Linked DNA regions of Schizosaccharomyces pombe. Changing the gene in region 2 together with the main gene of any one other region gives a genetic interaction. Each region holds a gene or a part of one and is shown on either strand. Other genes may lie near its edges.

Evidence for each region. A genetic interaction does not mean that the proteins touch.
Region 1: of ark1 (region 2) and pic1, extra expression of one rescues a mutant of the other (dosage rescue), as found in Schizosaccharomyces pombe (one study listed by BioGRID).

The regions. Positions count from the first base shown.
Region 1 is NC_003423.3:2,767,363-2,773,038, reverse strand, and holds pic1 (INCENP-like protein Pic1), read right to left. Parts: upstream 3,832-5,676; 5' UTR 3,769-3,831; coding exon 3,611-3,768; exon of another isoform or gene 3,568-3,610; coding exon 669-3,567; 3' UTR 501-668; downstream 1-500. Other genes in the region: single-strand DNA-specific 5'-3' exodeoxyribonuclease Exo5, read right to left, coding at 1-155; PAN complex subunit Ppk26, read left to right, coding at 5,349-5,439, 5,488-5,582, 5,642-5,676. UniProt on the Schizosaccharomyces pombe protein: Component of the chromosomal passenger complex (CPC), a complex that acts as a key regulator of mitosis. Has a role in sister chromatid cohesion and condensation.
Region 2 is NC_003421.2:139,547-143,673, reverse strand, and holds ark1 (Aurora-B kinase Ark1), read right to left. Parts: upstream 2,045-4,127; 5' UTR 2,013-2,044; coding exon 945-2,012; 3' UTR 636-944; downstream 1-635. Other genes in the region: peptidase Atp23, read left to right, coding at 1-380, 447-454; serine racemase Sry1, read left to right, coding at 3,481-4,127. UniProt on the Schizosaccharomyces pombe protein: Component of the chromosomal passenger complex (CPC), a complex that acts as a key regulator of chromosome segregation and cytokinesis.

The DNA.
Region 1 (5,676 bases), on a different chromosome or scaffold from region 2:
TCTAGTTTAGAAATTTCCCTGCTTACGAGCAATTGTGGTGGAATGCTCAAAGAATAATCCAATTGGCTAATAGTCAATCTTTGTGTTTCAAGATAGTCCATATAAGAGACTAATTCGCTCAAATCTTCCATCTCAAAATCTTCATATTCTTCCATAGACTTAATGTTTCGTTAGGATGATTTATTCAGGTGCGGGTTACGTTAGTTCACACATTTAATAGAATAATTCTTTTTTTTAAAGTAACCAACCAGACGGTAAAAAAGCTTTACACTAGTTTTATTAAAATGGTGGAACGTAAATGTCTAGTGTAACCAAAACTAGCAATGTAAACTGTGCTAAACTATTGATGATAGAAGTACTTTCACAGTTTCTTTTCGTTCAAAGAAATTAAAACTTTGAACAAGTAGATTAAGTTTCTGGCAATGTCAAACTACGTTTGTTAATGGCTAATGTTATTGCGGCACAAAAACTAATTATCAGCGATGCTTCAATGTCTAAGATGGAGGTCTATTTCATTATAATTGTTATTAGTAGATTCAAAAACCTTTAATCTAATTTAATTTTGTCATCTAACTCTATGCAAATTGTTTCATAAGATAAATTAAAGTATTTCTCTATTAATTTCCCAGTTCTTTAATATACAAAATTCATTTCAAAAATCCAGAACTCTATAAAAAACCCATGTTTTTCTTATAGTTATCAATTTCTGCTTGGGTCAAACGATCTTGAGATGACCAGTCAGCAGAAGAGCTTCTTGGTCGAAATCGAATCTTCGATCGATCCTTCGATCGGAAATACTCATCCATTTGCAGAGGTTTAATCATACCGAAAATTTTGTCTGGATCCCACTTTTGTTGTCGTTTTAATTGCTCTCGTAACTCAGGTGATTCAGCCCACGATGGTAAATTTACCTTTTTCTTATTACCTTCATCATCTGAATCATCCGAATAATCGCTATTTATTTCTGGTAATTCCACAGACGTGTTAGGCGATAGGGATCCATATCCAGGAAAATAATTCGACTTAGGCGTTTTCAGTAACGGTGATTTAGAAGAGGGCTCCTGCATAGACGAGTTCCTACCTTTAGCTGGAGCGTGCATAGAAGCTTTTTCAATAAAAGGTTTATTTGATTGTGAAGTACTAGAAGATGGAAGCTTTCCTTTCATAATACCATTCTGCTTAGTAAAAGGGTTGACGTTGTGATGCATTGTTTTGAATCCATGTTGATTCGTAAGACCGACATTACCATGTACGGGATTCTTATTTTTTTGTGCAGCTATCTTCTTTTTTCGATCTTCATTCTGACTATTAGTGGTCCCTATATCGAAGTTGTTTCTCAAACTACCAACAGAAGGCTGAGTTACAGAAGTAACTGAGTCAGGCTCCATTTTTTTTGGAATAGTTGAATGAAATGCCAATGACATGTCCTCAGCTAGCTCATTCGCAAACCTTTGAGTGGGTTTCGACGTGACGCGTGTTAACCCAGATTTTAGCATATGCCTTGAAGTTGCACCGTTGTCGGTTAACGGTTTCTTCTTTCGTAAATCTTCTTGTCTTTTTAACATATTTGAATGCCATGAAGCATTCACATTTGATGGGTTAGTAACAAGTCTTTTGGTCGTTGGTTTTTCTGATTTTTCCTCAAATGGCTTATTTGAGTGCATGCTTTTACTTGATGGTATAGCATCTGGTTCAGAACGAGGTTTATCGGAAATAGTATGTTCCATATCCCTAATGTTAGATGAATTGGCTGATGTGACAGTTTTGGTCTGACGACTTGGAAATTCGTTGTTTGATAACTCTCGTTCTTTACCATAGAACTTTTTGAAGCGATGAGTTTCGTTTTCAGAAGAGCGGCTTTCCATATTTGAAGCATTTGCTGCTCCATTTTTTGCTTTTCGCTTTTCAGTTTGCTCAAGTTCGCGTTGAGAGGCTGTGGCCACACGAATTGCAATCGGACGTGAATGCGGAGCAAAGTTGTGATCAGAATTTTGACGAGAATCATCATGCAATGGTTCAGATAACTTGTGCAGAGATTTTTCAATAAATTCCTTCTTGGAAGGCGGCAAAGAAGAGTCCGTATTTTCGTTTGCATCCGATTTCAAAGCGTTTGAGCTTGGTCTAGAATTTGAAGAATTAAAATCATTTGACGACTTTCTGGTTGAAAGCCTTGTGAATGTGCTTATCAGGGGGATCTTAGGCGCTTGAGTGATTACAGCATGACTTTTTGCAGGGCTTAAGGAAGACTCGTCGTTTTTATTATTCAGCTTCATTTTAGCAAGGTGCAAATCCTTAGCTGCAGAGTTTTTAGCAGCATCTAAAACTGCATTAATCGGTTTCTTCGTGGGCGGAGTCGAAGGAATTAATCTTTTATTAGAACTTACTTCTTGTATTTTCTGCCTTAATCGTTCGGCACGATCATAAGTTTTCAGTTCATAGTGGTTTTCATTGGAGGCAGTTAGCTCGTTCAATTTAGCAATAGAATCGGGAATTTTGGCTTCAAAAAAGTCAAACTCTTGACTTTTGGCATCACTTCCAGGTTGAGAAGATACAGGTAGTCTCTCTTCATTGGATTTTAATTTGGCCGTTAATGCCTCAGCTTCTACTGCGTTGGATTTATCGAAGGAAGTAATTTCGGGAGGGGATTCAAAAATAGTTGGATGAGGTTTAAGCATTTCATTTTCGACAGACCTTTTTCTTTCCTTGGAAGAAGAAGTAACAGTTTCAGAAGAGAAGGCGACTCCTGAACTTCTTTTACGAGTTTTGTAAGAAGTCGATAACCTAGTAGACGACGTGAGCGATTCCTTGGCTGATAAATCTGTCTTGGCGGGGATGACTGATGAAAGGAATTTTCGAAATTTAGAAGGACTAGAGGACACATTGGTATTTAACAAAGAAGAAGGAGCATCAGAAGTAGTTGAAGGTAGTGCCTTGATAGGTTCATCTAATGAAATTTCAGGATTATTCGTTAAGTTGTCTTTAGTACGCCGGCGATTTAACTGATTTATAAATGAATTAGTTGATTCCACACGACTGTGTAATGATGCAGGTCTTTTCAAAATCTCTTCACGTTTAGGTAAAGTGACAAAAGAATAAGCGGGGTGCTTTTGCTTTGGTAATTTATTAGGACTGTCAGCAGTTTCTGATGGGGAAGGCGAAGTTTCACGAAGAGGAACGTTCCATTCAGTAAAACGACGCTCTACTGAAGTAGGACTAAAAGCTGGCAAATTAGTCGGCAATCTCGTTTCTTTAATAGGAGATACACCACCTTTAGTAGATTTATTAACTATATCATCTTTGACATATTCAGAAGATAGCTTAGTAGAATCCCTATCATCATCAAATTGGGTTTCTGTATTAGTAGCAGTATGTAATTCTTTAGGTTCCTTGACTGTATTGGATTCACCCGACTTATATCCTTCAACAGCAGCTTCCTCAAGCTGATGTTGAATAGATGTTAACCGCATGCGAGGCGTTGGTAACGCACATCGATGTACAGGACTTAAACGAGGAGTGGAGTACTTCTCCTTTATCTTGGTAGGTGTTCTCACTAATTCATATATATCCCTAACCATCTAATTAGCACATATGATAAACAACAAATGCGTACGACTCTAGCTGTAACTTGGAAACTTCAAGCATGTGTTCATTCAACCAGTCCATGGTTTCAGATACAAGGAAGAAGAATTCTTTCATTTTTCCATTAGTGAGTTGTTGGGAGTATTCCAACTCCTTATTAAACCATAGTTCTGACCCATTAGAGCCCATCCTGTTTGGTTACATATAAAGAATGAGCTAGTTGCTGGAGAGTGGTCGGTGGTGGAAGCAATCAAATGTCAACAATATACAACAGTAGTTGTATACCTAAGCTTCCAACTAAATTTATAAACAATTATGCTTTCCCAATTTACAAATGATCAAAAGGTTTATTGTTTTCAAGATTTAAATGTAAATATCAAGTTCCGATGTTATAAACAATTGTTAGGAATATAGACATCGGTTAACGACGAAGAGGTTTTTAACGAAGTAACACTTTAAGCCATACATTTTTTCGAGATGCCGATGCTGATTTTATTGCAGTAATTATTGAGTGGAATAAGCAACCCAATGCATGCAACCTATCGTTCGTTTGATCAGCAGACAGAGTTAACTAGTTTGTGTTCAAATATCTTTCACCATTTGTTTATGTTTAGTATATAGCAAGCGGCACAGACATAAAAGTTTCTATTGAACGGCTACAAGCAATTTGTCATGCTTTATACGCTTGTCATTTATTGGATTTTTTTAATGATTCGATCTACAATATTCACGCATTTTCTCCATTTTTTGTTCACATACTTGCCATAGCTTTTAAAAATAATTTTTCCAATCAGACAGAGATAAATGCCAAATATCATACACTTGTCTTTAAGTTTTCAAGAATGTATTAAAACATGGGTAACCATTCTCAAAAAATTAAAAGCTTATTCAATACAAAATTCACCGTTCTCTTTTCATTTTGAGCTATTTTAACTCAATTAGACTTTTCATTCCTTACTCTGTTTTAGAGGACAATGTAAAGAGAATAGGGTAATAAATATGCTTTTATAATTGACAGTCTGTTATTATTCTTTTTAGCAATTTAAATATTTTTCTGAATTCCTAAAATTTCTTTAATTAATTAAATAAATAATATATACTTTTTTGTCTGACAGATCAAAAAAGGAAGGGTGTCCGAGTGGTTATGGAGCTAGTTTAAGGCACTAGTGCGAAAGCTCGTGGGTTCGAGTCCCACCCCTTTCAGTAATTTTTTATTGCATTTTATAGCAAAACAGGGGAGTGTGAATTTGGCAAGCTGTTAGTTTCTATAGGGAATTTATAACTGCGAACTAAGTTTTCTTACTTGCAATGGCTATATATGGGAGGCCGAATTGCTTGAAAAACATAGCTTTGCATTTGAAACAATTCGCAAAAGTTGGCACTAAGGAAGAAGTTAAGATAAAAAAAATTCAGTTACTTTGGTTTTATGATTTGCAATTAAATTACAGTGATCGCAGAAAGATAGCAGCATTACGAAGACATGTTCAACTGCTACATAACACTTGCTATTGTTAAAGTTTTCGAAATAGTTACTGCCCGTTACATGTAAAGAACAGATAAAAAATAAATTAGAATTACTGTCTTCTCAAATGCTTAAATATTACTACTATGAAATTGTTATATAAACAAAATGTAGCGTTGCAAAGTATTACAGTAAACTTCGTTGTGCTGCATTATTAGTATTGTCCGGGACTTACTGATTCCACGACCTGTAACTAAATTGCTATAATCTCAGACTGTTAGCTTGGGATTGCCTGGAAATTGACAGGATGAGTGTGAGGAAGAATTCTCCTGCAAGCCCAAAGCCAACTTCCCGTTCTAGGGAGAGTTCCAGGTCTCCGTCAGTGACTGATTTGAAAGGTAAATGGAAATTCAAAGCAAAACTTGACTGACCACCATTTTTAATAGACCATTCCAAAGCTAAACGAACATTATGTAGAAATATCTTACTTTATGGATCCTGTAAGCATTCAGAAAATGGATGTGCTTTTCGACATGATGGTGTAAGTATAGGCGTATTCTCTTAACTTCAGAGAAGCTTCTTGCTTACGATTGTTTGTAGCCTTTCATCCCTTCTTCAGAGAATTTGGAGCAATA
Region 2 (4,127 bases):
TACTGGAGGTTACATTCCCGGTAAAGGGATAGTTCTGTGTGAAAACAGACTTTATACTAAAAAAATGGCAGAGAATACAATTGCCCATGAAATGATACACATGTTTGACGACCACAGGTTTGAAGTCGATTGGAACAATTTGAGACATCAGGCTTGTTCAGAAATTCGTGCTAGTAGTATGAGTGGTGAGTGTCGCTGGACCAAAGAACTTCGTTTTGGTAACATTAAAACTTTTCGGAAGCATCATCAAGAATGCGTCAAACGACGAGCTACTATCTCCGTACAAGGTAACCCGAATTGTAAAAGCAAAGAGCAAGCAGAAGCAATCGTTGAAGAAGTGTTCAATTCCTGTTTCAACGATTTCAGGCCTTTTGAAAAAAGTACGTTCGCTGTAGTTTTGTTCATTCATTTTTTTCTTCGTACTAACTATTCATTCTTTCGTCTAGTCTATTGAAATACCAGTTTACAAAAGTCAGATAGTTATTATGTCAACTCCCTTCCCCTCCCATTTTATAATATCCCGTACAGCATTTACGTTGGCTTTTAAAAAATATCGAAGCATACTTCTCACTTGTTATGCAACTTATTATGTGCTTGGCGTACTTTATCTTTATACATATTGTAACAGTTTTTTTGGAAGTTATTATTAGCTTGGCTAAAGTGATGATAAATTTTTAAATAGTTTTTATTAGGAAAATGAATGTCTTCTAAGTGATTTCGAAAAGAAAATCTGGAAAACGATTAGTTTATGGTGGTGATCCTCTATTAAATGAGTGTGTTATATTACATATAATTAAACCTCCATAACCCCCAAAGATCAAAAAAGTTCTGAAGGAATATAGTGAGCTGCGCGATTAAAAAGAGCGCTGAAACAAAAAGAAAGTAGTAATGCAAAAATGTAGTGAGAAGAAGGAAAAATTAAATAAAAAGTACCAAGATGGCGGTTAGGAAGATTCAGAACTTTTGCGAGTCCATGAATCTTTATATTTTACAATCCAAGGGTGCCTCATAACTTGTTCCAAACTCATTCTTTTTTCAGGATTATGCTGTAATAGACGAGAAATAAGATCCCGTGCATCAGGAGGAACAAAGCTTGGAATTTTTAAGTCAACTTTGGCGATACGCTTATACGTAGCTGAATGACCAGACATGTCCTCAAAAGGCGGTGCTCCCACCAAAAACTCATAAGTTAAGACACCCAACGACCAGAGATCAACTTTTTCGGTATGCTCTTTTCCCTCCACCATTTCAGGTGGTAAGTAATCTAATGTACCACATAAAGTGGTACGACGGTTAGAAGGTGCATGGACACTCCAACCAAAGTCAGAAAGCTTGATTTCTCCATCAATTCCTAATAAAATGTTCTCAGGTTTGATATCACGGTGTATTACATGCTTCTTATGCAAGTAGGATAAGGCGTTAGCCATTTGGAAGATATATTTAGACGCAACTTCTTCTGAGAATCGTTTTGCACGACGCAAGTGTTGATACAACTCACCCCTGCCAGCAAACTCTAAAATCAAATAAATCCTTTTTTCATCATGAAAGTGCCCATATAGCCGTAAAATGTTTTTATGGCGAAGATTTGATTGAATCTCAATTTCTCGTCGAACTTGCTTTTCTATCTTTGACTGGACAAGTTCAGACTTATGCAATGTTTTGAGAGCCACAATAAACCCGGTCTTCTTCTCTTTAGCTAGATATACCCTTCCAAACTTTCCTTTCCCTAAGGGTTTTCCAATTTCAAACATTCCAATATGAAATTCTCGCCATTGAGGACCAGCTGATGAAGGTACTCCAGCAATTGGCTCTTCTATCTTACGAAGGGAAGAATTGAACTTGCTATTTGAAGTCCGTTTGTTTTCCTTCCCATTTGCTAGACTAACATTATTTACTTGTCGTTGGTTTGATACTGCAAGTCGTAAAAGCTGTTGTCTCCCAGGATTAGCTGTGGTTGATGGAGTTGACACAGAAAGGCAATTCAAAGAATCTGCCAACTTTGAATCTGACATTATTTCGTAAAAAAACGCTGATGTTGGCTTTTGACAAGTTCGTCCAGAAGTAGGAGCGTTGTTGTTTACATTTTGAGGTAACACCATGTTTACTGAGTCTTAACACAGCCTGCTATTATCTTCCTTTCTTTCAAACTAAGAAGGAGGCTCTGATTCCCGTTGTTATTTATGAATACTCAAAGGGTGTTTCAAAGATTATTTACATGGAAATTATGAACGAATTTATTTAGCATACGAACCCACTTCGATTCTACAAATGTTATTAAAAAAAACGACATGTATCGTTCTCAACAAAATAAATAAAAGGAAAACAAACAGAATATTCTATATCATCCCAATACCACAGGCTTAAAAGTATATTTAGTATCTGTTTTTTATTCTTTTCAATGTGTCCACTGTTTGTTTACCGAATAACGATATACAGTGAACTATTCAATACTAGTTATAGAATACTTACAATATTAACGCTTCAGAAGGAGACAGTGCTAACTAACAAGAAAAGAAAAGAATTCAGTAAGTAGAGTAACACCAAAAGAAAAGGACCGAAAAGTGAATTAACAATTGTAGTTGATAATAAATTATCGTATTTCTCAATCAATTTAGAAAAGTACACGATAAAAAATCTCCGTCAGGGGGAATCGAACCCCCGCCGCATCGGTGAGAGCGATGAATCCTAGCCACTGGACCATGACGGATTATATAATTCTGCGATTGTTTTAGCATTAATTATCAGCTTTTTCATTCTTGATTAAGATTTCTCATAAAAAAAAAGAACTCTTTAGTAACGAGTTATATGCATAGTAATGTGAAAGTCAAAACACCGTTTGTTGGATATTTATTTCTAAACTGATTTAAGCTGCAGTCAAGTCCATTGCTGAGCAGATACAGTTTACAGAAATTAACGAGGCTTGGTTCAAACTATTGATATATTTAACCAATGCTGCATGACTGTTCATCACGCTAAAGGTAGAAAGACGTTACTATTCTGGCACTCAATGAGTCGAAACAATTGTTATACATGCATTTTCGTTATATTCTATGACACTCTTAACAGACTGTTTCTACATCTTGAAATTCTCACTATATAATGTTAACATTTATTACAGAGGAATACTACAAATAGTGATTAGCATTATACTCGCTATGCTACATGTCACTGTTTTATGAACTAGCAAGTTGGAGCTCCGTCCTGCTGTTTCATTTCCATTTGGTTCTAATTGTGTAAGTGTCTTTACAATTGTCGCCTATAAATTCGTTTCCGAGTTGGGCTCGCATTTTTTGACCTTCTTTTCATAGTAAAGATAAGATAGCGTTACAGTTGACGGTTCTCTCTATAAATGATCGAGAGCTCTGCTTGATTTGACATCTCTCATTGTCGTTAAATTCTTCAGTTTGCATTTTAAGACTGAATAGTTTACAGAATAAAAGGATATTTTCACTCTTTTTAAATTTTTAAAAAACTACGACAATGAGCGATAACCTGGTGCTTCCTACCTATGATGATGTTGCTTCAGCTAGTGAGCGAATTAAGAAATTCGCCAACAAAACCCCAGTACTCACGTCGAGCACAGTAAATAAAGAGTTTGTGGCAGAAGTGTTTTTTAAATGTGAAAATTTCCAAAAAATGGGTGCTTTCAAATTTCGCGGTGCCCTTAATGCTCTTTCTCAACTCAATGAAGCTCAACGTAAAGCTGGTGTTTTGACGTTTTCTTCTGGTAATCATGCTCAGGCCATTGCACTGTCGGCAAAGATCTTGGGAATTCCAGCAAAAATCATTATGCCACTCGATGCACCCGAAGCCAAGGTCGCTGCCACGAAAGGCTATGGTGGTCAAGTAATCATGTATGATAGATACAAAGATGATAGAGAAAAGATGGCCAAAGAAATTTCTGAAAGAGAAGGTCTTACCATTATCCCTCCTTACGATCACCCCCATGTACTTGCTGGTCAAGGAACCGCAGCTAAGGAACTGTTTGAAGAGGTTGGCCCTCTTGATGCACTTTTTGTTTGTCTCGGAGGCGGTGGCTTGCTTTCTGGATCAGCACTTGCTGCTCGCCATTTTGCTCCAAACTGCGAAGTTTATGGAGTTGAACCTGAAGCTGGAAACGATGGGCA